4 linked regions of the Arabidopsis thaliana genome follow. The protein of the gene in region 3 interacts with the protein of the main gene of each other region in a pairwise test. Each region holds a gene or a part of one and is shown on either strand. Other genes may lie near its edges.

Region 1 (6,820 bases), on a different chromosome or scaffold from region 3:
AGGCGAAAGAAAATGTAAAACTTCACAGAAGAAAAGGAAAGTGTTTTTCTTTTTAAGGTTAACCTAACTATAGTTTGCTCGTTGAATACGAAGATGTCCAATCTTCCAAGAGATTTATCGGATCTTCCAAGGAATATGGCGGAGGAGGTGCTTTCTAGGGTTCCGATGACATCTCTAAGAAGACTCCGATTTACTTGCAAAAAGTGGAACACTTTATCTAGATGTAGGAGCTTTGCAAAGAAGCACCTTGTTTGTCAAGCAAAAGTAGCTGCAAAGAAAAGAGAGTATAAGGTGGTCATGATGATGGATTTTAGGGTTTATTTGATGCGCATAAATCTTCAGAACAACGTTGAATTGTGTATAAAGCGTGAACGTGAACTTCTTTTCCCCGACGCTTCAGATCAAATTTACGTCCGTCACGTCTTTCACTGCGACGGTTTATTGTTATGCATCATGAAAGACAACCCTAGGCTTGTGGTTTGTAACCCGTATAGTGGACAAACCCGGTGGATCGAGACTACAAATAATCCTCAGAGATTAGATGCATATTCGTATGCTCTCGGATACAATAGCAGTACCAAATCCCACAAAATCTTGAGTTTTGGTATGATGTTTGATTATGTCTCCTCCACTTCTGCTGAGTTCAAAATCTACGACTTTAACTCTGACTCATGGAGGGTCAATCTCGAGACTGGAACATAGGTTACTATAACCGTTTTGTGTCTGGTGCCTCTCTCAAAGGAAATACATATTGGCTTGCTGAAGAGGCATATTCAGAAATCCCAAGACAAGGAGACCATAGTTTCTTACTCTGTTTTGATTTCACAAGGGAGACATTTGGGCCGCGGTTTGCCTTCGCCGCCCTTTGAGTGGTATCTTCAAGAGTTCTCTGTTATTATCTAATGTTAGAGATGAGCAGCTTGCGGTGTTATTTCAGCGTATGGATACATTACAGATGGAGATCTGGGTTACAACTAAGATTGAGCCCAACACGGTGTCATGGAGCAGCAAGTTCTTCTTATCAGTGGATATGAGAGAACTCACCGGCCGTTACTCTATGTTTTCGTTTAGTGATGCAAGTTTCTTCATTGATGAGGAGAAGAAAGTTGCAGTGGTTTTTGATAAAGGCAAAAAGAAGTAGTTGATGTGCAATGCAGCTTACATCGTTGGAGAGGATGGATCCTTGAAGAAGTGGATCTTGGAGAATCTCCAAACCAAAATCTCCGACCACTTGTGTGCTCTTATGTTCCAAGTTCACTGCAACTTGATTAGTCCAATATTTTATAACACTCTAATTAGATGAATAAATATAACGTTTCCAAAACATGGATTTTATTAGTAGACATGATCAATAGAAGAGTCTTTAACTATGAATTATCATGTTGGTTACACATAAATTTGATTAGGATGAATAGAAAGTATACGTTATTTTAGTTCAATGAGATAAACCAGTGGTCATGGACTTAGCGATTCTTGTGGAGATACAATAAGCCGTAGACATGACTGTGATCATAGGGTTAACACCAACAGCACTAGGCAACGCACTTGCATCGCACACAAACAACTTCTCTGCTTCCCAACTCTCTCCATTCAAATCTATTGCACCTTCTTTTTCATTTTCTCCAATTCTACAGCTTCCCATCTGATGAGCTGAGCTATAAACGTTCCATTTCTCAGTCATTCCCTTTGCTCCTTCCTCTGTACTCACCGAGTCTAAAAACTCTTGGATCGAATTCTCATTGACACCTTTGCATATTAGTCTCTGCCCGTCGCTTCTGTGAGTTCCCACTTCCTCTGCTCCAGCTGCTATTAGTATCCTTAGCGACTCTCTAAGCCCAGCTTTGAGATTATCTCTGTCGGTTTTGTCCACGGTGTAGTTTATTCTGCCTTCGGTTTTAACTTCTCCTGACCCGCGGTCTCTAACTATGGTTATGAGACTCGCGGTTCTTGAGTATCTAGCCATTCTTTTCTTCATGTCAAGCCCAGAGGTCCAAGGAGTTAAAACGGAGAACGAACCTGGTCCTAGTTGCGGTGTCTCTATGATTGCTCTGACTTCAGAATCTTCTGATAACACTTTGCTCACTGATGTTATGATCCCGCCTTCATATGAATTTCCCTTGAAACTGATGTTAGAAGATTCCTTGTCCGGGAAGTAACCCCACGCCATTAAAACAGGGTGTAAGTGAAGGTTTTTACCGATGTTTCGGTTTCTCAACCCGCTAGATATCATCAACGGAGGTGTTAAAAGAGCACCCCCTGCTGAAACCGTTACTTTAGCTTCAATCTTTAACATCTTTGCTATGTTTCCGTTTAAAGATTTAGCCATCACTCCCAAACATTTCATTTGCTTGCCTCCTTTGTTACTACCGTTCTTTTCGAGTATGAATCTCTCCGCTTTACATCCAGTAAGAATCACGGCACCGTGCCCCACCGCATCGACAAGCCAAGTCCGGTCACTTCCTTTCTTGTCTCCTTGTCTACATCCATACCCGCAAGATCCACAGTAATGACTCTCCGAGGAGTTTCTTGGCACGTTTTCAACATTGAACCCGAGATTTTCGCAACCTTTTCTCAGAATCTGATTCTGAAAACTCTCCAGTTCACATTTCTCCGTGACACCCATCCTCTTCCACACAACTTCCATAGCCGTTAGATATTCTTTAGTACCGAAAAGAGGTATATTTTGATCCTCTGACCATTCTTGAAGAACCGACTTCGGGGTTTTGATACACGCAGACCAGTTCACAGCAGATCCACCACCTACAGTTGCTCCAGCCAACACCATAAAACTCCCATCAACACTCGGGAGAATCCCTCCATTCTCGTAGAGTTTATCCAAGCCAGGACCTTCGAAAGGACGATGTTCAGAAGGCGTAAAGTAGCTTCCTTTTTCAAGAACAACCACTTTTAAACCAGATTTCGCTAGAACAGAAGCTGCTACGCCTCCTCCTGAACCAGACCCGACGACCACAACATCACATTTTATTCTGATCGCATCATGCTCCGTGTCAAGAACCGCTTCTAGGCCTTTATGAGCAAGTGATTCAAGAAGAGTCTGCTCTGTTTCTTCCATCGTCTCCACTATCCCTTTCTCAAGTGGTCTTTCGTTATGAGTTTCAGAAGGTTTGTTCTCATCGGGGTTAACACGATACCCTATGGCTTCCCATGCCGGGTTTTCGCCATTTGGATTCACCTACACAAAAGAAACGACATATCCATAAATTCTTGAACATTTTCTATAAGTAGCTCTGTTTTTACGACAGAGTTAACATATATAATATAGGCTCTGAATCCGGATTTTGGTTTAGTTCACGATTCTCAAAATTTTGGATCGGTTTATTGTAACCAAATCAGAAAATGATCTAGTTAAATCGCTTGGTACTCATTTAAGATCAAAGTTTTTAATAATGGGATCAAATTGTTTATGTATAGTAAAATAGTAAATTTTAGTTATAAACAAATCTCATATGAATACGTTACGTACGGTTTCAGGTTTAAGATTTTCTAATTTTAGTATATATGAATTTGGATGATTTTTTCCTTAGAGATCATCATTAATTTAGAAAACAATAAAACTGATACGTTTTCTAGTTTTTTTTGGCTCTATTTGTAATCAATTTTTGGATTATATAGAAAGTAAATGAATTTAAACCATGCGATTCTGTTTTCGATTATTTGGATTTGTACTAGACTGTTTTATCCGGACAGAACAACATAATCTATGTGGTTGAGATAAGGTTTGGAGAAAACAGAGAGAATTTGAGACATACCCGGGAGAAGAAACAGAAGAGGAATGCAACTTTGATGTAGACAAAAGCAGCTCTAATTGGAGTCAGAATCCAATTCTTGAATTGTTTCTGAAGTACTCTTTCTCTCTTCTCCAACGAGAGCTCACTAAATTTCTCGACAAAAGGCCATCTTGAGACCAAACACTCGGTTCCACAAATGAGAAGCGTCCCAAGCCGAGTAGCAAGCAAGAACAATATAAGCCTAGTAGCAATATAAGCTTCTATTGTCCCTCGTTTCGTGACCAGCTCAATGCTCTGCATCCATTAACAAATCTTTCACTTTTTACTCAAAACCTTAAGGTCTTTTTAATAACCGCAATTAATTTTAGACCGAAACCTAGACTAATAATATTCACGTTAAAAAAACAAAAAGAGCTAGATATTTTTGTCATTTAAAAGGTCTATAGAAGTCAAAAGAGAACCACAAGGATTTTATTGGAACTCGATCAATACGAATCCTTTTAACTAATCGAACAAATCAAAACAAATCTTCAAATATCACACGTTCTTGATTTGTGTTTTTTTGTTTGAAAGTGTCAAAACTTTAGCATTTTGTTAAAAAAACAGATCATTTGATGAATATAAAGAAAAAGTGTGTGAACCTGGCGAAGGACAGGAGTTTTAGACCCAGAAGTTGAGTAAAATGACCGGAGAGCCTCTTTGTTCCGATGGTTATCACCTTCACCGGAAAGCTCTTCCGGCGGTGGCTGCACTGAAGGCAAGACAGCTTCACAAAAGCTAGCTAAAGATTCCATCTCTGCCACCGTGATGTCCGGGAGACCAAATTTTCCGGCGACTTTGTACTTATCCATCACACAGTTTGCTTTGATATGATTAAAAAACAAAACTGGGAAAGTTCTTAAGATTTCGAAGCACAAACTCTGTTAGTATATATATAGACACAACGTTACAGCTGTCGCGTTACATAAAAATAGACATATAAAACAAAATTGCTAAGAGAACCCCAAAACTTGTTTTTAACTCTTTTTGATGATTACGTATTTTTATCTGTCGTTTTAGATAGTAGATGTATGTATTTTTCTAGTTTATACGACAGTTTGTCGTATTACTAATTATGATGATAATTGACAATTTAAATGTATATGAAAAAGTTGGACCAAAATTGATTTTTCTTTTTTGTTGTTGTAAATGGTGCATATCTACCCACGTTGTTGTTTCTTTCAAATTCTACTTATATGCCGAATTTTATTGGTATCATCTGATGTAGATTGAATATATTTCTTACGTACAATTTAAGATGATGGTTATTTTTTAGGGTCCTCATGTTTAGAGTCTCTAAGATAGTGGTTAAAAACACTTAAAATTGCAAAATATAGGGACTAGTATGTAGTTAGCAGAGACTATTATGGGGAAAGTCTTTTTCAGTTTTCTAGATTACAACATGTGAAAACTACAGGCAACGAAAATCGATTAGTAATTAATAATTAAGTAATGATTGAAGAAACATAACAAAGGCACAAAAGAAGAAAATAGTCAGAAAAGTTCTCATAGTTATGGAAAACAATCACGTGTGATACTCTTTCTTTTTTTTTTTTTTTTTTTGTTTGACAACTGCGATGCTCTAAACACCACAATTTGAAACTTGTGATAGCCAACTTGTGAGTTAATGCACAAGCCCCGTAACGTTTTACACAATCTAGCTTTTCTTATTCGATATACGTGTACTTGATATCTTCTCACAAAAATTTGTAAATATTATATGAAGAAATTAATACACATTAATATGTATATACAACATCTGATCGGTTATCACGTATATATCAAAACATATTATATCTTTGGAGAGGTCATGCTTGGACCATTAGACAAAGTCTTATTTGGTTTACGAGTTTTTTAGTTTGTTAATTATAATGTAAAGTATATGAAGTTGTAAAATTTACTCTAAAACAAATCTAGGGACTCGTCAATTAGGTGAAATTCATGGGATCGTCAATTAATATTTACTCAAATTAGTCATAAATGTTGCTTAGCTGCAACGAAATTGATTACAAACTTTTTTGCAGTGATTTTTTAGGTGCTTCACTGGTTAGCAACCATGTGCTAGTGATCATCCATAAAAATTATCTCATTTACTCATCCAGTATTTCATGAATTCTCAAAAATACTAATTATTGATTGTTGACCAAAAAAAACCCATATATTGATTACAAACCAAACGATCCCAGGCCGTTTTGAATTTGCTAGAAAAATAAATACATATATACACTATATGCTTAAAATTTCAATGGACAATGCGTTGCCTCATTTAAGATTCGAAGAAACTAGCATTATCAAGGAAAATGTTGAGTGACTTCCAGATAATTTGTTAAATTTAGTTGACATCGATTAGACAAAGAATCGATAAATTACGTATTGATTCAAATTTCATATTATAGACATCCACAAAAAAATAATATAATTAGTCTGGCCCTACTTTTGATTTTGCAACAAATTTGTGGGAATCAGTGGAGCCAATCAGTTGCCTCCACGTCATCGTTTGCACGCCATGTTAGCCAAAATGTGGTCATGCATCCCATCTAACAAGTCAGGTGTAATCGAAGCATCCGAGATCTCGTCAGACAAAAAAAACTCTAAAACGATAACTAGTTTTTAGTGTAATCTAAGTTAAAGTATGATTATTTACTAATATATATTCTGATCCCAAAGGTTTGGTTAGAAAATTTCCTCAGCATGGGTTATCGGTACATATATAATTGCTTGGTGATAATGATATGTTTCAGCTTAACCAAATAAAAAATGCAAAATAATAAATAAATTTTACCGTGGTGGATGAGCTAATTAGAGTGTACGAGGTACATATATAGTGCGTTGTTTTGCAAAAATAATAATATTAAAAAGTTCACAAAATATTTTTTAGTCATAAGTTACTTTTTCACACTTATTTATAACTTAGAAATAAAAAATCACTTCTCTGAACACTTATTTATAACTTCTCTGAACACATGTTATGTTCAAATGTTAAGACTATTTTCCGTTAGGTGATATCGTAATTTTATGACTACAATATTTCA
Region 2 (4,237 bases), on a different chromosome or scaffold from region 3:
AAGGTGGGAGGAGGAAGATGAAGATTTCCCGCGTTGTTCCTGATGGTCTTGGGTTAGTATTTCATAACACATGATCTAAATGAAATCGCCTTTTTTCATTCAGTTTCGTTCGTTATATTAGTAGTTCGTGATTACGTAAATTATATTTGGAAAAGTGTTGACCAATTATTTTGTGGTTTCTTGTATGAGTCAATGGATAATCCTCTGTATATATGCTCTGTTTTTGTGATTTATCTTGATGGTAAAATTTTGTAATCAAGACGAAACAATTATCCAAATTGTTGTGTTTTTGACATTTTTCTTTGATAAGTTTTCTTTATTTTTCTCTGTTTAATGTTGTTGTTATTATTGGTTTTTTTTTTTGTTTTTTTGACAATTTTCCTTTGTTTAATTGCGTTTTTATCTCTAGTGATGTTGATATTGTTTGATGATTGATGTACCTAATTATTTTCTTGTTGCTACGTTTGATTTTTCTAAGCCTAGTTGCTTTTTTGGTTGTGATCAATATATATTCATGTTTTGATATCAGAAAGTCAAAGCCAGTGGAAGAGATCTTGAAGATAGATATAACACCAGGATGGAAGAAAGGAACTAAGATAACTTTTCCAGAGAAAGGAAACCAAGAACCCGGTGTTACTCCCGCAGATCTCATCTTTGTTATAGATGAGAAACCGCATTCGGTTTACAAAAGAGACGGTAACGATCTTATTGTAGACAAGAAAGTTTCGCTTTTGGAGGCTTTAACAGGGATCACTCTTAGCTTAACAACACTAGACGGGAGGAATCTGACTATCCCGGTTTTGGATATCGTTAAACCGGGTCAGGAGATAGTGATTCCTAGTGAAGGAATGCCCATCTCTAAAGAAGGTTCAAAGAGAGGAGATCTAAGAATCAACTTTGAGATATGTTTCCCCTCGAGGCTAACATCGGAACAGAAGACAGATCTCAAGAGAGTTCTTGGTGGTAGCTGAATTGGCAACTAGTTTCAAGAAAGCTCTTGAATTCAAAAGGTCAATTCAGTGTACATACATATACAGAATTGATCGGTTTTCGTTTTTGATCTCATATCTTGATCACGAAATAGTAAGCAGAATTGATTGTTTTTTGTTGTAAAAGCTATCTTTGTTGTTATCTAATTTATTCTGCTTTCATAAGTTATATATGTAACTCTCAACTTCATACAAGCTCTTCGAAAATGTTATGTAACGTTTGTTTTTTTCCATTTAGTATTTTAACATATACTTGGAATGGGACTCTTTTTTTTTTTTTTTTATGGTATAGTTCTTTTAGTCGCCATACTCACATTACCATTGTTATGTTGTTTTGCTTACGTTGGGGTGATTAGATTTCATACAAATATAACTACAACATTTTTGTTAATTGTTTTCATTTTTGACATTATTATTTATATTGTTTTGAGAAATTAAACAACAAACCAGAAACCCAACTTCAAACAATCAATTCAGAACAGACATTCAAAAGTATAATAATCATTTTTTTGTAAGGGAAAAGAAAAAACTTAAACCCTATGTTGTTCAATCTTCTTCACGAGCTCATCAGGTTTGGCTCCAACAACCCTATCAATCTCTTCTCCTCTCTTCACAAAAACAAAAGCTGGAAGTGTAATAGCTCTATATGTCCCAGCCACATCCTGGAATACATACCAATTATAGCTTAGTCTTGAAACCATAAGATGATTCTTCTTCAAGTAATAAAAAAAAAGAGTAATTACCATTAGCCTATCCACATCAACCCTAGCAAACACAGCTTCTGAGTACTTTGAAGCAATCTCCCTAACTCTAGGTTCCATTGCTTTACAAGGTCCACACCATACAGCTGTGAAATCAATTACTAGCTTCAAAACCACAATAATTTTTTCAGTTAGTTTAAGAGAAAAAACATGTCATTTACTTGTAAACAAAATTAGAAAACACAAATAGTATAAGATTTAAAACAAACATTATAAGTTTGGTTAAAAAAATTTAATACGTTTTAGGTAGTTTTCGAGTAATGTATACCAATTTGTTTGAGCCTTTCATGGAATCAAAGAGAGATTTCCATTGTCTTCTTGATTCGATTTCCACAACAAATCCATTACTGGTAATTTCCATTGATGAATGAACATCATGCACAGATGAAACATTGGAACCCATTATCTTCGGAATGTGTATGTATGAAGAAATGGTGTTCACTTATTTGCTAGTGATATACTGATATGCAAAGAAGAGAGACAAGGAGGAGCATTATATAGCTTTTAATCGGAGAACTTAATTTGTTGGTTATAAATAAATAAGTAAATGCAAAGGAATATGATTCAATTTGCTATCCTTCTTTAGTTCTAGCCGTTGATTTTTTTATTTTTTCAAGAATATATAGCTTATACCAATTTAGTTTCGCTTTGTGTTTTTAAAATTCCAGTTAGTTGTTAAATATTCTCCACTACATAAAAATATAGCTGGTTGCAAGGAACTAGCTTGCCTATCACATTTGCAAACGAATTTTTTATTTTTGTGGGTGGATAACAATCCGCGGCGGATCGATTTTCTAATTAAAAAATGGTAGCCTAGGTACTTGATTTATTAGTTTAGATTAATTAGTTATTGTCAACGCTATAAATTAAAAGTAGTTAAAATTTGTTTTGTTTAAATAATATATGCACCATCCACTTCAAGGATCTAATACCTATATAATATTAATGCTATTAATTACTATAAAAATAAAAATGTCACATGGCAGGAGAGTTTCTAATGAGAACTCATTTTTATTTTTTTCCTAATTGATGGTGATACTCTTATGTCTTTACTGAAATCTTTAATTTACATTTACATAAAACTTTACAGAACGAAATTAGATTAGAATAAAACGAGAAAAAAATTTGCAAAATGACCATGCATGTCATTGTAAATTTGTAATGTTGTTTGGTGTGTCCGTGTGTAAGAATATTGATTTGTGTTAAAAAGAAGCTGTCATCAAATTCTTCCTCAAGGTCCTTCTTATTCCATTTCAGTACTTATAGGAATCATTGTCGAAAATGAGTTTGAAATTAACAATTTATTCGATACTGGGGGACAAGAAATGCACGTCGTAGCCACGAACATCATCTTTAACTTTTTGCCCATAAACTTTCACATCATCCTCTTATAATTCTCATTCTCAAGGAACTAGGAATGCTGATTCAAAAATACAGTTCGGTGATGCTCGAATATCTTAAATTTTAGAACATATTGTTGGGGTTTAAGATCTCGATTTGCAAATATTAATTTGAAACCATTTTTTGGTCTGATTTCTAATAAAATTGAAACACCACTGTTTTATAAGAACTAAAAAAAACTTGTAGAAATGTTGCATCAAAGTATGCTTTATAAAACATTAAATATATATATGTTGGGATCAAAATATGCATATATATATATTATATATATATATATATGAAGGCGTTATCAAAGAAATACAACAAGTTTTTTAGAAAACTGAAAACATTAAGGAATACTTCTTAAATTTGTAAGTACCCTTCCTAAGACTTTCTTTCCCTTACTTTTACTGTATTTGGAATTTTGGAATTGTGTAGTTTAAGACTTAAAAGAATTCTCAAATATTTATTGTACTGGTAATTCATAAAGTAAACTAATCACGTTTAGATATTTAAACATGTGTAGAAAATCGTTTTTAATTTAGATTTTGCCTTTGAATTTATTCATTTTTTAATCATAATTTATCGATAATATTACACATGACTTTCTTAAAGGTTGCATGAGTTCTGCTACCCACATATTTCTTTATTCCTAGCTCGATCTATAAAGATTCTAATATAAGTTTTTCCACAATCTAAAGAATTTTATTCCATGAAATCGTATCCATACAATTTTATATTGTTGATTTTCTCTCTTTTTAATTTATGTAGGAAGAGTAACACAATTAGTTCAATACCTCTGTATTTACTTTTCTGCTACTAAGCAATATATTACAGTTACTTATAAAATAGTTCTGTATAATAGTTCAATAAAGTTAGTTATATTTTTGCAAACAGAAAGTGTGAAAAAGATACAAGAGCAGAAGAAACGATTCTTAAATACAAGTGCAAGTGCTTTTTCCTTGAAATATACGGTGATTTGAATCACAAACCTTCTTAGCTAAATGACCATCTTATGATAAAAACAAGATGTGGCCGCCACGAGAAGTCTAAGCAAGGAAGTAGGTGCATATGATGAACTAGGTACGCCGACGAACATAGAAAAAA
Region 3 (6,174 bases):
CTTAATAGTGAAAAAAGGCATTGGTACAAGAGTGAAGTACCTTTCCGAGAGATCTCTAATGAATCTCTTCTTCTTATGGAGAGTTGAACATTACTTGTGTTGCTATGTAGAAGGAACATTGAAGTGGAAGAGCCATGAGATAACAAATGCAAAGACCATACAAGCTAAAAGGAAATTCAAGAACCGGTGACCTTGCCAGAAGCTTCTACCTTCCACCAATCGTGGACCAGATGTTCTCAGAGTTAGATTCTCTACACCATTTGCTTCATTCCGGCTTTCCTCAGACTCCACCTCAACACTTCCAACAACATTACCCGCAATCGACCCACAAACTTCACAGATTCTGCAAAGCAAAACCAAACCATGAATCTCATCACAAAGAAAGAAAAAGCTAAGCTTTGCGTCTCTCATCTGACAACAAATGGCCTCAAAACTGAAACTTCTCAAAAAGACAGTCAAAAGAAAGCTGTTCAATAACCAAAAGTGACAATAACCTAAAGAAAGTAAAAAACTTTCCTACATCAATGGAAATGTTAGTCATTTAGCCTTTCCTAAACTATCTTAAAGCTTAGATTTTTACGTACTCCTAATGGAAGTAACCACCAAACAACCATTCTCAAGAAATATGGAGATTTTGAACTTACTTGTTTCCTTTGATCTTGAACCAAGTCTCAGCACAGTGTTTATGAGCAGCAGCGAGATCAGCTTTACAAGAACAGCCAAGCTCAATGGGAACACCAGATTCAAGATTCGCTGCATCTAAGCTCATGTGACAAATCCTGCAATCTCTCTCAGATTGCGACAAATGTACAACTTTCTCAGGCAATCCAAGCTCCAGATCTATTTCCACCGAACACACCGACGCATTGGATCTCCTCTCCTCATCTTTCACTATTTCTTCCTCCTTCTCCACCGCACCGGAGCTCCGACGAGGCTCTCCATCGCCATCACAGCCACTTGAGCTATTGATTACTTTAACAGAGACAAAGGTCTCGAGATGTGGCTGTACGGATTCCATATTCGTATAGACCCGGATGACGAATCCTCATATAAATTATGAAAACGAGACTTGTGAAGATGATGAATGATGATGATCAATGCTTTGCAGCGCAGAGAGAGAGAGAAAAAAAGAGATTTCTGGTTGAAACTTTACAGTAAAATTACATGATTGCCACTGGGTTTTGGAGTTAAGTGATCGTCAGATTCTCAGACAAAACTATTAACTCTCTCCTCTCACTTGTTCACCTGGACACCTAGACAGACCCACCTCTAATAAATCTACTATTTTTTGGATCATTACTGTCAATTTAATTTTTTGGATATGAATACCTAACCTAATTGATGTATTTCTATTATATTTTGGGTTATTTAAGCAACTTTTAGTCTTTTTTTTTTTTGGGAACAAAAAGCAACTTTTACTTTCTTATTTACTTCACAAAAACTTCTAGTGATTTCATGACTATTTTAGGTTATTCAACATAAATTAATGTAAATTATAATTTTTTTTGTAAAGTTAGCTCATTATATATAAATAAATTATAAGTTCTAGAAAATGCAATATCATGATTAAGAAAATCTTCATGATGAATTCGTCTAACATAAATTTCCTAACAATTTTCTACTCAATGTTTATAATCATCTTTATAGTATTAATATCTTTGATAGGCTGTGAAACTCTACAACATGATGGAAAAGTATTTCCAATGAAAGGTCCTCTTACTAGGGTTGTGATTTATAATGACAATGATTATCTTTTAGGAGTTCATTGTAAATCAAGAGATGATGATCATGGCTTCCATATTCTACAAAAAGGTGGATTATATGGTTGGATGTTTTACGTGAATTTTATGAATTCGACACTCTACTTCTGTGGATTTAGCCAAGAACAAGTAAAAAAAGGTGTGTTCGATATTTATAAAGCGGTTAGAGATTCTTCTAGATGTAGAAATTGTACTTGGGAAGCAAAGGAAGATGGTATTTATGGATATGGCGAGATTCCTAAGAAAAATCCTTTGTTTTATAAGTGGCTAATGTAATGTGAAATTGAGTGGTTATAAAATCAAATTTGAATCTAAATGATTCATATGCAAATTTCATTGTTATTTATACGAGTTGTAATTCATCTTCACAAGTTGTAACGGCTAATAACATCAAGCCCAAATGCAGATGATCCTACCATTGTTTTGACTTAAGAATCGAGCATCGATTCTAAACTATTGTATATTACATAATTTCCCTTTGCTACACCACTAATAAAGCTTTTATTGGTCTTCTACCACTAGACTTAACACCCACTTTGTCAAAAACGTTTGCTAAATTTATTCAACTTCATCATAATTCTGCCAAACTTCTGCTACTTAGATAAGCTTTTCTCTGAATAGTTCGTATTTTTAGAAAAATTAATGTAAAATCGATTGCCTAACTAACCAAACGCTTTGTTAATTACAATTAGATTCGTGGTCGATTTACTTAGTCAATTAAATATGCTCAGAACTGAAATGTTTCGTTAGCTAGGAATTTTCAAGGATTAGTATATGAACGTAAATCATTAAATTTAGAACTCAGATTCGGTAATAACCAATAACAAAGTCAATGGCTCCTTTCCTTCATTGTTACACATCTTCACACTTTGATTTTTCAAGTAACCAAACAAAAAAAACTTTAGCCCAAAGAAACATTACATAACGCACCAATTATAATATCATGAAACTGAAAGAAAAAATAAATTAGTTAAAAAAGGAAAGAGAAGTGTTGTTGCAGCTTTAGCCCAAAGATCTCTCCTTTTTGCAGAGCTTCTTCTTCTTCTTCTCCAAAAATCCCAACTTTCTTCTCTTTCCCGGTTTCTTCGTCTCCAGCATTTTCGCGTGTTGTAACCTAATCCAAATCTTACCCATTGATGGAATAACATCATCACGACGCGTCAAAATTCTGTATCGGAGGACCGAGAGATCTCCATCTCCTGTCCAGATTCGATTCCCACCAATCCCAATTTCGTGAAATTCGTTAGGGTTTTAGTTTGAATCTCATCTCATCAGATCGAGTCGACCCAGGATTAGGAAGAAGAAAAGCGATGAAGATGGCGACGAATGGCCGGTTTTTCACAATCGGGCTAGTCGCGTCTTGGTACTCATCGAACATTGGTGTATTGTTGCTGAACAAGTACTTGCTTAGCAATTACGGATTCAAGTACCCGATCTTTCTCACCATGTGTCACATGACGGCTTGTTCGTTACTCAGCTACGTCGCCATTGCTTGGTTGAAGATGGTTCCGATGCAGACGATTCGATCCAGAGTTCAGTTCTTTAAGATCGCAGCTCTAAGTCTCGTTTTTTGTGTGTCGGTGGTCTTTGGTAACATCTCTCTCCGCTTTCTTCCTGTTTCGTTTAACCAAGCCATTGGTGCTACGACGCCGTTTTTCACCGCCGTGTTTGCTTACCTGATGACGCGTAAGAAAGAGGCTTGGTTGACTTACTTCACTCTCGTCCCTGTCGTCACCGGAGTTGTTATTGCTAGTGGGGTATTTTCACTTCTTTTGACCTCTTAAATTTGAATCCCTTATGTATGCTTTTGGATGAGTTGTTAGAGAGGTTGATGTAGATGTGATGTAGGAGCAATGAACTAGATATGTTGGGAACATAGGTATGGTTCTGGAGCAATGAACGTGATATCGTTGATTCAGTTTCATGTTTGGCCAATGATGCTAGCTTTTATCTTTGTGACAAGCTCAGACATTGTTGAATTATGCTTCACATGAGAAAATTTGGTATTGTTTTGTGCTTGTATTCGCTAGATTTTGTGTTTCTCTCATCTTCTCTTAACCATGTGAACTTTATGCTAAAAAAGTTCGAGTAATGGAGATTTTGTTCTGTTTGTGTGTGTGATGTGTTTGATTCTATGCTTGATATTCTTTAATTTATGGGTGTTGTCAGGGTGAGCCAAGCTTTCACCTGTTTGGATTCCTTATGTGCATTGCAGCAACAGCTGCGAGAGCACTTAAATCAGTGCTTCAAGGAATTTTGCTTTCTTCTGAAGGGTAAGAAATGGCTGGTATTGTTGTAGTCGCCTTGTTAGAGGTCTATATATCAATAGTTCAAGTATTTATATGAGTGTTGCTTAAAAGATTCTAAATATTGTATTGAAGGGAAAAGCTGAACTCCATGAATCTCCTCCTTTACATGGCTCCAATAGCTGTCGTGCTCCTTCTGCCTGCTACTCTTATCATGGAGAAAAATGTTGTCGGCATTACAATTGCACTTGCAAGAGATGATTTCAGAATCGTTTGGTATCTTCTATTCAATTCAGCGCTCGCCTATTTAGTCAACTTGACAAATTTCTTAGTCACAAACCACACTAGCGCCCTGACTTTACAGGTGATTACAGTTCACATTCCTTTTACATTCTTAGTGGCATCATTGTTTATGGTAGAAAAAATGATACGGGTTTTGGTTGGAGTTGAAAGAAAGTTAGTCCAAGGAAGTGTAGAACTAGTGAGAAACGATTATCTGCTTGGTCCTCCTGTTAGTGAGATCCTGTCATTTGTATTGGATGTTGAGTTGGGTTTGCTTTTTTTATGTGTATGATAATGCTTGATGTTCCCTGCGTTTCAAAACGAACTTTTGAGATATGATTCACATAAACTCATAAAACGTCGTTTTGGATCGCTCTGTGATAGGTGCTAGGAAACGCCAAAGGAGCAGTAGCAGTGGTGGTCTCTATTCTAATCTTCAAGAATCCGGTGTCAGTGACCGGAATGCTGGGTTACTCCCTCACCGTCTGTGGAGTTATCCTGTACAGCGAAGCCAAGAAACGAAACAAAAATTAGAACACTAAACACACACAAAGCTTTTACTTCTTCTTCATCATTCCCCCCTATATATATGTTTTATATTTTCTCCCCTATGGATATACAGGCAAGTAGTCTCTTTTGCTGGGCCAAACTGACTCTTGTCTTAATGAAAAGCTGGGCCAAAAACATCTCTTTTTTTTGGCAGAAACAGAGAAGCAAAGCCACACAAAGATTGATTACCAAAGGCAAGAATTTAGAGAACTTCCTCCTATGAATAAGTAACCTTTTTGTTTTTCATTTTTGTTCTTTCTTCTCGGATTCTCTTGCCTTTCCTCTGTAGGTTGTTTGTTGAATTAGGTTTGTTTCTTCGATTCTTTACATTTTAGTTTTGTGATGTCAACATTTTACAACAACACGGATTGATTCATTTAATCGAAAGAGAGAAAGTTCCTTCTATCTTCTTCTTAAAATCCATTTTCTCAATGTTTATCTGAGAATTCAATTCAATATTAAGCTATCTCAAGGTTCCTGAGTTGTTCAGATCAAATAGCTGTGTAGTGGCAGAGCAGAGAATCAGAATAGGAAGTGATAACAGTTTGCAGAAGAAATATCTAAAAGAGAGAAAGGAGACAAGAGAGTTATTTTTACTTATGAAGAAGACATAGTCTTGTCTTTGTCTATAGTCTTTGTCTTGTCAAATCACTCGCTTCATTTTCTTTATCTGGTAACGGCAGCCATTATCATATCAAGCCGTAGATCCGGATTCACTGCAGCATATCTCACTTTCATGAATCTAATCCACACATTACCAAGTAGGCCATTCCAAATATATGTCGTAAATTTTCAGGATTGTTTGACCCAAAATGTGTAAAGAACACACTCTATGTAGTGTTTTTAAACCTCCTTGCTAAAACATGGTTTCTTCGAAGCATGAGTGTGATGGAGAAAGACTCCACGTAGTCATGGTACCAAAACTTGTAATGTGACAATAATATTAACTCTCTCGACAGGGAAAAGAAAAAAAAAGCAAGAGTAAAATTTTCAGGAGATAGAGAGAGGAAAAAGCCAAAATGGGGTCGGAGAGAGATATAGGAGTAAATTGGTTAATATAATAGACTTACAAGTCAGACAAAAAAGCTGAAAAGAAACCAAAAAAGGCTTGATTAAGCTTGGAGACTGTGACAGTTGAGTTTTTGAGTGTCTAGAAACTCTTTCAAGTACTCGAGTGGGCTTTTCATGAAGAAGCTAAGGAACAAGAATTGCGAAAAGTAATAGAGATTGAAAAAGGGAGGACGATAATGATGAGGACCATGTACACACACGTATCAACTCTTTTTATCCCAAGGACTCTCATTCTATGAACCAATGGATTCACTCGACACTTTCCA
Region 4 (4,688 bases), on a different chromosome or scaffold from region 3:
CTCAGCATTGAAATCCTCAAAGCAGCCGGTGAAAGAAGTGGTGGTTCCCTCCACGGAGTAGAGTTTCTCCTTAAATCAGATTTCCTCGGGGATCCAGCAGCCACATATTCAGTTGCAGACACCATTGCAAAGTCAGAAGACGAGTCTGTTCCTTCCGACCTCAAATCGTTTCTCCAAGAACAGTGGTCAGAAGCTGCATTCAACCAAGGATTGAAGGAAAGCCGGGAAAATTACATGAATTTCATGAGAGTTTTGAAACTCGGAGAGTCTGCAATAAGTCTAAAGGATCTCCCAGCACCATTGAGAGTGGCAATCGCCTACATGCCACTGTACAGAGAGTGTGTGGATGCGGGTGGCCGGCTGCTCTCACAAAAGCTAAGAGGACAGCTCGTGGAAGCTGCAACACAGCTTGAAGGCTTCGATGTAGACACAGAAGAAGTAAAGAAAGGTCATCATCAGCTCATGACCATCTTGGAGCATCACCTTCCTCTTTTTTTGGTCAAAGCTTCTTTACACTGAGCAACAATGGATTCAGCATCTGAGTTAACACAACTCGTTTTAAATAGTTGATAAAATAAGAACTGAAAAACAACCATTCCACTATAGTTATGGATTCTGATCCAGGTTGTGAGATGATGAAAAAGGGTTCTTGTAGACTTGTACAAACTTGCTATGAGAATGTCTTTGTCAAAAGTCTCTCTATCTGTCTTTTATGCATCCTAAACCATGGGAGAGATAATCAAAGCCTTTTATATTATTTCATCTACATATTATTTCACTTCTTCTGTCTCAGACTCTTATTGGTCTCCTCTCCTGTAATGAAAGCCTTTCAATTTCTTACATTTTGTACCAATCTCTCATCCTGGTTTTGCTTCAGACCATGAGAAAAATGAAATCATGAAACTATTAATCATTCTTTATTTATATAAATAGTTGTATAATTCTGCATCAAGAAAACAAGTTTTACAAATGAAATATTAATCTCTTACCCTGAAACCTTATGTAATGACAATAGACAAAACCTCCCTTTGTTTAAGGATTTCTTTCTTCAATTAAAGAAACGTTTATTACATAAAAGTGGAAGAAGAAGAAACATGTTTGGAATTAGAAGAAGGCATGAAAGCAAGAACCATAAGCAAAACCATAATCCCAATAGGAATCAAAAGCAGCATAAAAGGAGGAGGAGGCAATGGTGGAAGAATCAACGGTAAGATCAAGAGAGATGCTGTGAGACCAACAAGCACAACCATTGATTCTAAACTGAAGTAACTCGCTGATATTAGCCTCCTTGGACTGTTCTGCGACGACAATGTCCGAAACAATTCTTGCTTCCCCATAATCGGAGCTGGAGCTGAACCACGAAAACTCGTGTTTTTCCGGTTATGATCTCCTCTCACGTCCATGTTGTTGTTGAGAGAATAATGTTCTTGAATGTTTATGATGTCGTTTTGTAGACTGGAGAACTCACGAATCATTTAAAGAAGGCTTTTTCTCTTTTCGAAGTTTGATCTGGAAAATCAGATCGATGTATGAAGAAGAAACTTGAGTTTGTTTATCCAAACGCATAAAAAGTAACGAACTTTTCTTCTTCTTCTTCTTCTGTAAATGTAGTTTGGTTGAAGAACCCTGACGATGAAATGATTATCCCGAAATGCAGACAAAATCTAAGGTTTAGAACGAGTGATCTTGGCGTTTCCAGACCTAAAAGGACTAATCTTTTTTTTTTGCCGGTAGAGAGAAAAGATTCAATTGGTGTTTCAAGAAAGCTGCAAGAGAAAATTTGTCCAAGTTTTGATCAGTAAATCGTTGTGATTCAATCAAAAACATGAGCAGAGAATGAATCAAAAGAATCGAAAGTAAGTACCTTTAAACCGTTAGAGCCAAACACACCTTCAGCGAGAAGAAGATGAAGATTGAACGTTGGAAACCAAAAACAGGGTGTTAAAGCTTAAATACAGAGGAAGACGAAGAAAGTTTCTTTTGGTAAGAAAACCAGAGAAGAAGAAATAAAGTGGGAGTGGTTTTGATAAAAGGAATTGGTATAAAAATAGATGGTAAAAGATAATGAGAGAAATAAATATAATGTTTTTGGGGTTAAGACTGTGGAATCAGAGAAGAAACAGGAAACAGAGGAAGGTTCACTGAATTTACAGATTTTTCTAAAATGATAAGATTTTAATTTTAATGTTTTTTTTCTCTTTTGGGGGTGACAAGTGTGAGAGGCAAGTTGCTGCTTATTCTGGAAGGTCTGAACAAAATTGAAATCTCTCTATTTGATTACTTTACACTTCTCTCTCTCTTTCCACAATCACAGTGGTTCTTCTCCCCTAGACACTTTCTCTGATGATGACGTGGGATGGAATTTATTTGGGGTAAGCCTCTGTTTGAGATGGAGGTTTCAGTTTCTTTTGGAATATTCAATGGTGGTTTTTAATTAAAACGAATCCAAACTTTTATAACGTTGATCGTGTATTATTGTAGACTATAGTCAAAGTTGTTTGGTTGAAATAAATAAAGCAGTATCAGTCATTAATAATACTAGAAACAAATAATTAAAGATAAGATAAATATTTTAGGTTATCACAAATAATCTTTGTTCTATATGATAATGTTTTGTTTGTTTTATATAATCATTTAGAGTTGTAATCTATTGAAACTATGGACGGGGAAACGTACTAATTAAAGATTCGAATTCCTCGCGCACAAAAAATTGAATATGAGAAGTGATAGCAATAATCAATAGATTGAATTCGGTGAATTACCAAATTAGTTTGACAAATATATTCAACATTTATCACTTTTTTTTTGTCATAGAACTGTATAATATGTATATGTATATGTGTGTGAATTAATTAAATTTTCCAACCTAATAATAATGTTGTCTATGTGTTATCGACCGATGATGACCCATATTGTTATTCCTCTCGGCATTTCATGTGGTGGCTATATCATATTATCGTTTTTAGTGGGACAGTTGGTCCAATATTTATTTCTCTTTCGTTTTATGCTTTTAATAGTCAGAAGAAATGCCAACTTAAATTTATATAATTAGGGAATTTTGTATTTTACATGATACATAAAGGATACATAAGTGGTCTTATTATTATTATTATTATTTATTTTAAAAAGGGCTAGGTGTTGTTTAGTATGATTTAAACAAAAAAGTGATATAGTATTAAATATCGTACTATATTAAAAATGCTATTTGTTAAAAATACAAGACAGCTTATTATTTTTAAAAACACATAAAATAATATATTAAGATTTTTTTTTTTTCATTCATTATCTTTCAGGTAAACCGATATAATTTATTTGTTTAACAGCCTAAAAATGTAATAATTAAAATATCTAATGGATATATTCATAAGTACTTTTCGTTGGGTGTTTAATTAAGAGGGACATGATAATTTTCGCAAGCAGTTTAGTTTCAGCCGTTCTGGTATTAACCAATTGACAGCTTACCAAAATCCACTACTCATTTTTTATTTTTTTTTCAATCCAAAATACTTATTTATCCAAATTCAATGAATCGCATGTATAACATCTATTGATTACGTCTTTTCTACTTTTTTTTACAAAGGAGAAATGGTTTTATTCGTCAACTACTAGCTAAACTCCCAATGGAAATGACATTACTATTCTACAATTATAATGGCTCAAGTAGACATAATTACAACAAAACTTCACCTCCCGCTTTAAACAAAAACAAAACTTAATTAACGTCAATAAAAAGATGATGCAGACTTTTAAATTGTTAGAACAAAGTTTAACAACTATATATAACTGATCAGTTATATAAATAGCATATACACCATAGTGATATCTTCCCGATCTTAAAAGATATTCAAATTATCTTGTGGATATGTACTTGATTCGATATCTTTGATTTTTTGTATTCATGATCTTATGGTTAGGATCGATGCCACCAGTTCCTATGTAAACAAATAGATAATATGTAGGTAAATAACATTGCTTATACCAATCTAAATGTCAGTTAAGAATATATTGATACATATGTTTATAATGCCTTACAGATTTATAGAAAACCCATATTTGATTATAGTGATATATATAAGAACGTATACAGAGAGCGCAATCTCTTATCCAAATCAGAAAAAGATTTCAATTCGTAGCCAAAACCAAGAAAGATATAAGATATAGGTGAACTATAGGAGGGTGTTTTTTTTACTCGTAATTCCTTGGATTCTATTGGTTAATCCATCATCCATAGTGTGTGTATATTTAATTTTTAGAAAATTAGAAAGAAAAAAATTGTAGAAAGGGAAAGCTATATAGAAATGGCAACCCATGCATGATTGCCTTGAACATCGCAAACCCTCCCTTAGATTGCATGTCTAGTGGAACATAGTGGACCTGCAACAATATTCAACAAAAAATTCATATTATATACATTGCATAATGCATAGTAGGACATAATAAGATGAATTATTATGCTCAATAACAAGTTTATATGATATGCCCACAGTTTCATCACATATACTTGAGTTTATTAAAACGAATGATTCTATTTCTCTATTAAGATTAGCCTTTATTAATTGTTAGTGGTATGAGATATATTGAAGAAAATAAGTATAAGCAAAAAAAATGTTGATAGAAGAATTAAATAAGCAATAATTTCAAAAGGTATGTAATGTGGATGAAACGGCACATGTCGTTGTCACGTGGCT

Evidence for each region.
Region 1: the proteins of AT5G05820 (region 3) and FAO3 interact in a protein complementation assay, tested with the Arabidopsis thaliana proteins (one large-scale study listed by BioGRID).
Region 2: the proteins of AT5G05820 (region 3) and TH7 interact in a protein complementation assay, tested with the Arabidopsis thaliana proteins (one large-scale study listed by BioGRID).
Region 4: the proteins of AT5G05820 (region 3) and ARL interact in a protein complementation assay, tested with the Arabidopsis thaliana proteins (one large-scale study listed by BioGRID).

The regions. Positions count from the first base shown.
Region 1 is NC_003074.8:8,380,640-8,387,459, reverse strand, and holds FAO3 (fatty alcohol oxidase 3), read right to left. Parts: upstream 4,789-6,820; 5' UTR 4,601-4,788; coding exon 4,391-4,600; intron 4,130-4,390; exon of another isoform or gene 4,050-4,129; coding exon of another isoform or gene 4,044-4,049; coding exon 3,771-4,043; intron 3,194-3,770; coding exon 1,436-3,193; 3' UTR 1,279-1,435; downstream 1-1,278. Other genes in the region: AT3G23420 (F-box and associated interaction domains-containing protein), read left to right, coding at 136-678, 830-1,114, 1,158-1,187. UniProt on the Arabidopsis thaliana protein: Long-chain fatty alcohol oxidase involved in the omega-oxidation pathway of lipid degradation.
Region 2 is NC_003070.9:21,951,240-21,955,476, forward strand, and holds TH7 (thioredoxin H-type 7), read right to left. Parts: upstream 2,242-4,237; 5' UTR 2,154-2,241; coding exon 2,019-2,153; intron 1,856-2,018; coding exon 1,733-1,855; intron 1,652-1,732; coding exon 1,520-1,651; 3' UTR 1,358-1,519; downstream 1-1,357. Other genes in the region: AT1G59725 (DNAJ heat shock family protein), read left to right, coding at 1-52, 530-971. UniProt on the Arabidopsis thaliana protein: Probable thiol-disulfide oxidoreductase that may be involved in the redox regulation of a number of cytosolic enzymes.
Region 3 is NC_003076.8:1,750,754-1,756,927, reverse strand, and holds AT5G05820 (Nucleotide-sugar transporter family protein), read left to right. Parts: upstream 1-2,566; 5' UTR 2,567-3,070; coding exon 3,071-3,517; intron 3,518-3,929; coding exon 3,930-4,033; intron 4,034-4,141; coding exon 4,142-4,370; intron 4,371-4,672; coding exon 4,673-4,822; 3' UTR 4,823-5,242; downstream 5,243-6,174. Other genes in the region: AT5G05830 (RING/FYVE/PHD zinc finger superfamily protein), read right to left, coding at 103-343, 645-1,018.
Region 4 is NC_003071.7:18,234,513-18,239,200, reverse strand, and holds ARL (ARGOS-like protein), read right to left. Parts: upstream 2,413-4,688; 5' UTR 1,865-2,412; intron 1,767-1,864; 5' UTR 1,476-1,766; coding exon 1,068-1,475; 3' UTR 1,028-1,067; downstream 1-1,027. Other genes in the region: AT2G44090 (Ankyrin repeat family protein), read left to right, coding at 1-519. UniProt on the Arabidopsis thaliana protein: Promotes cell expansion-dependent organ growth, probably via a brassinosteroids signaling pathway. Acts downstream of BRI1.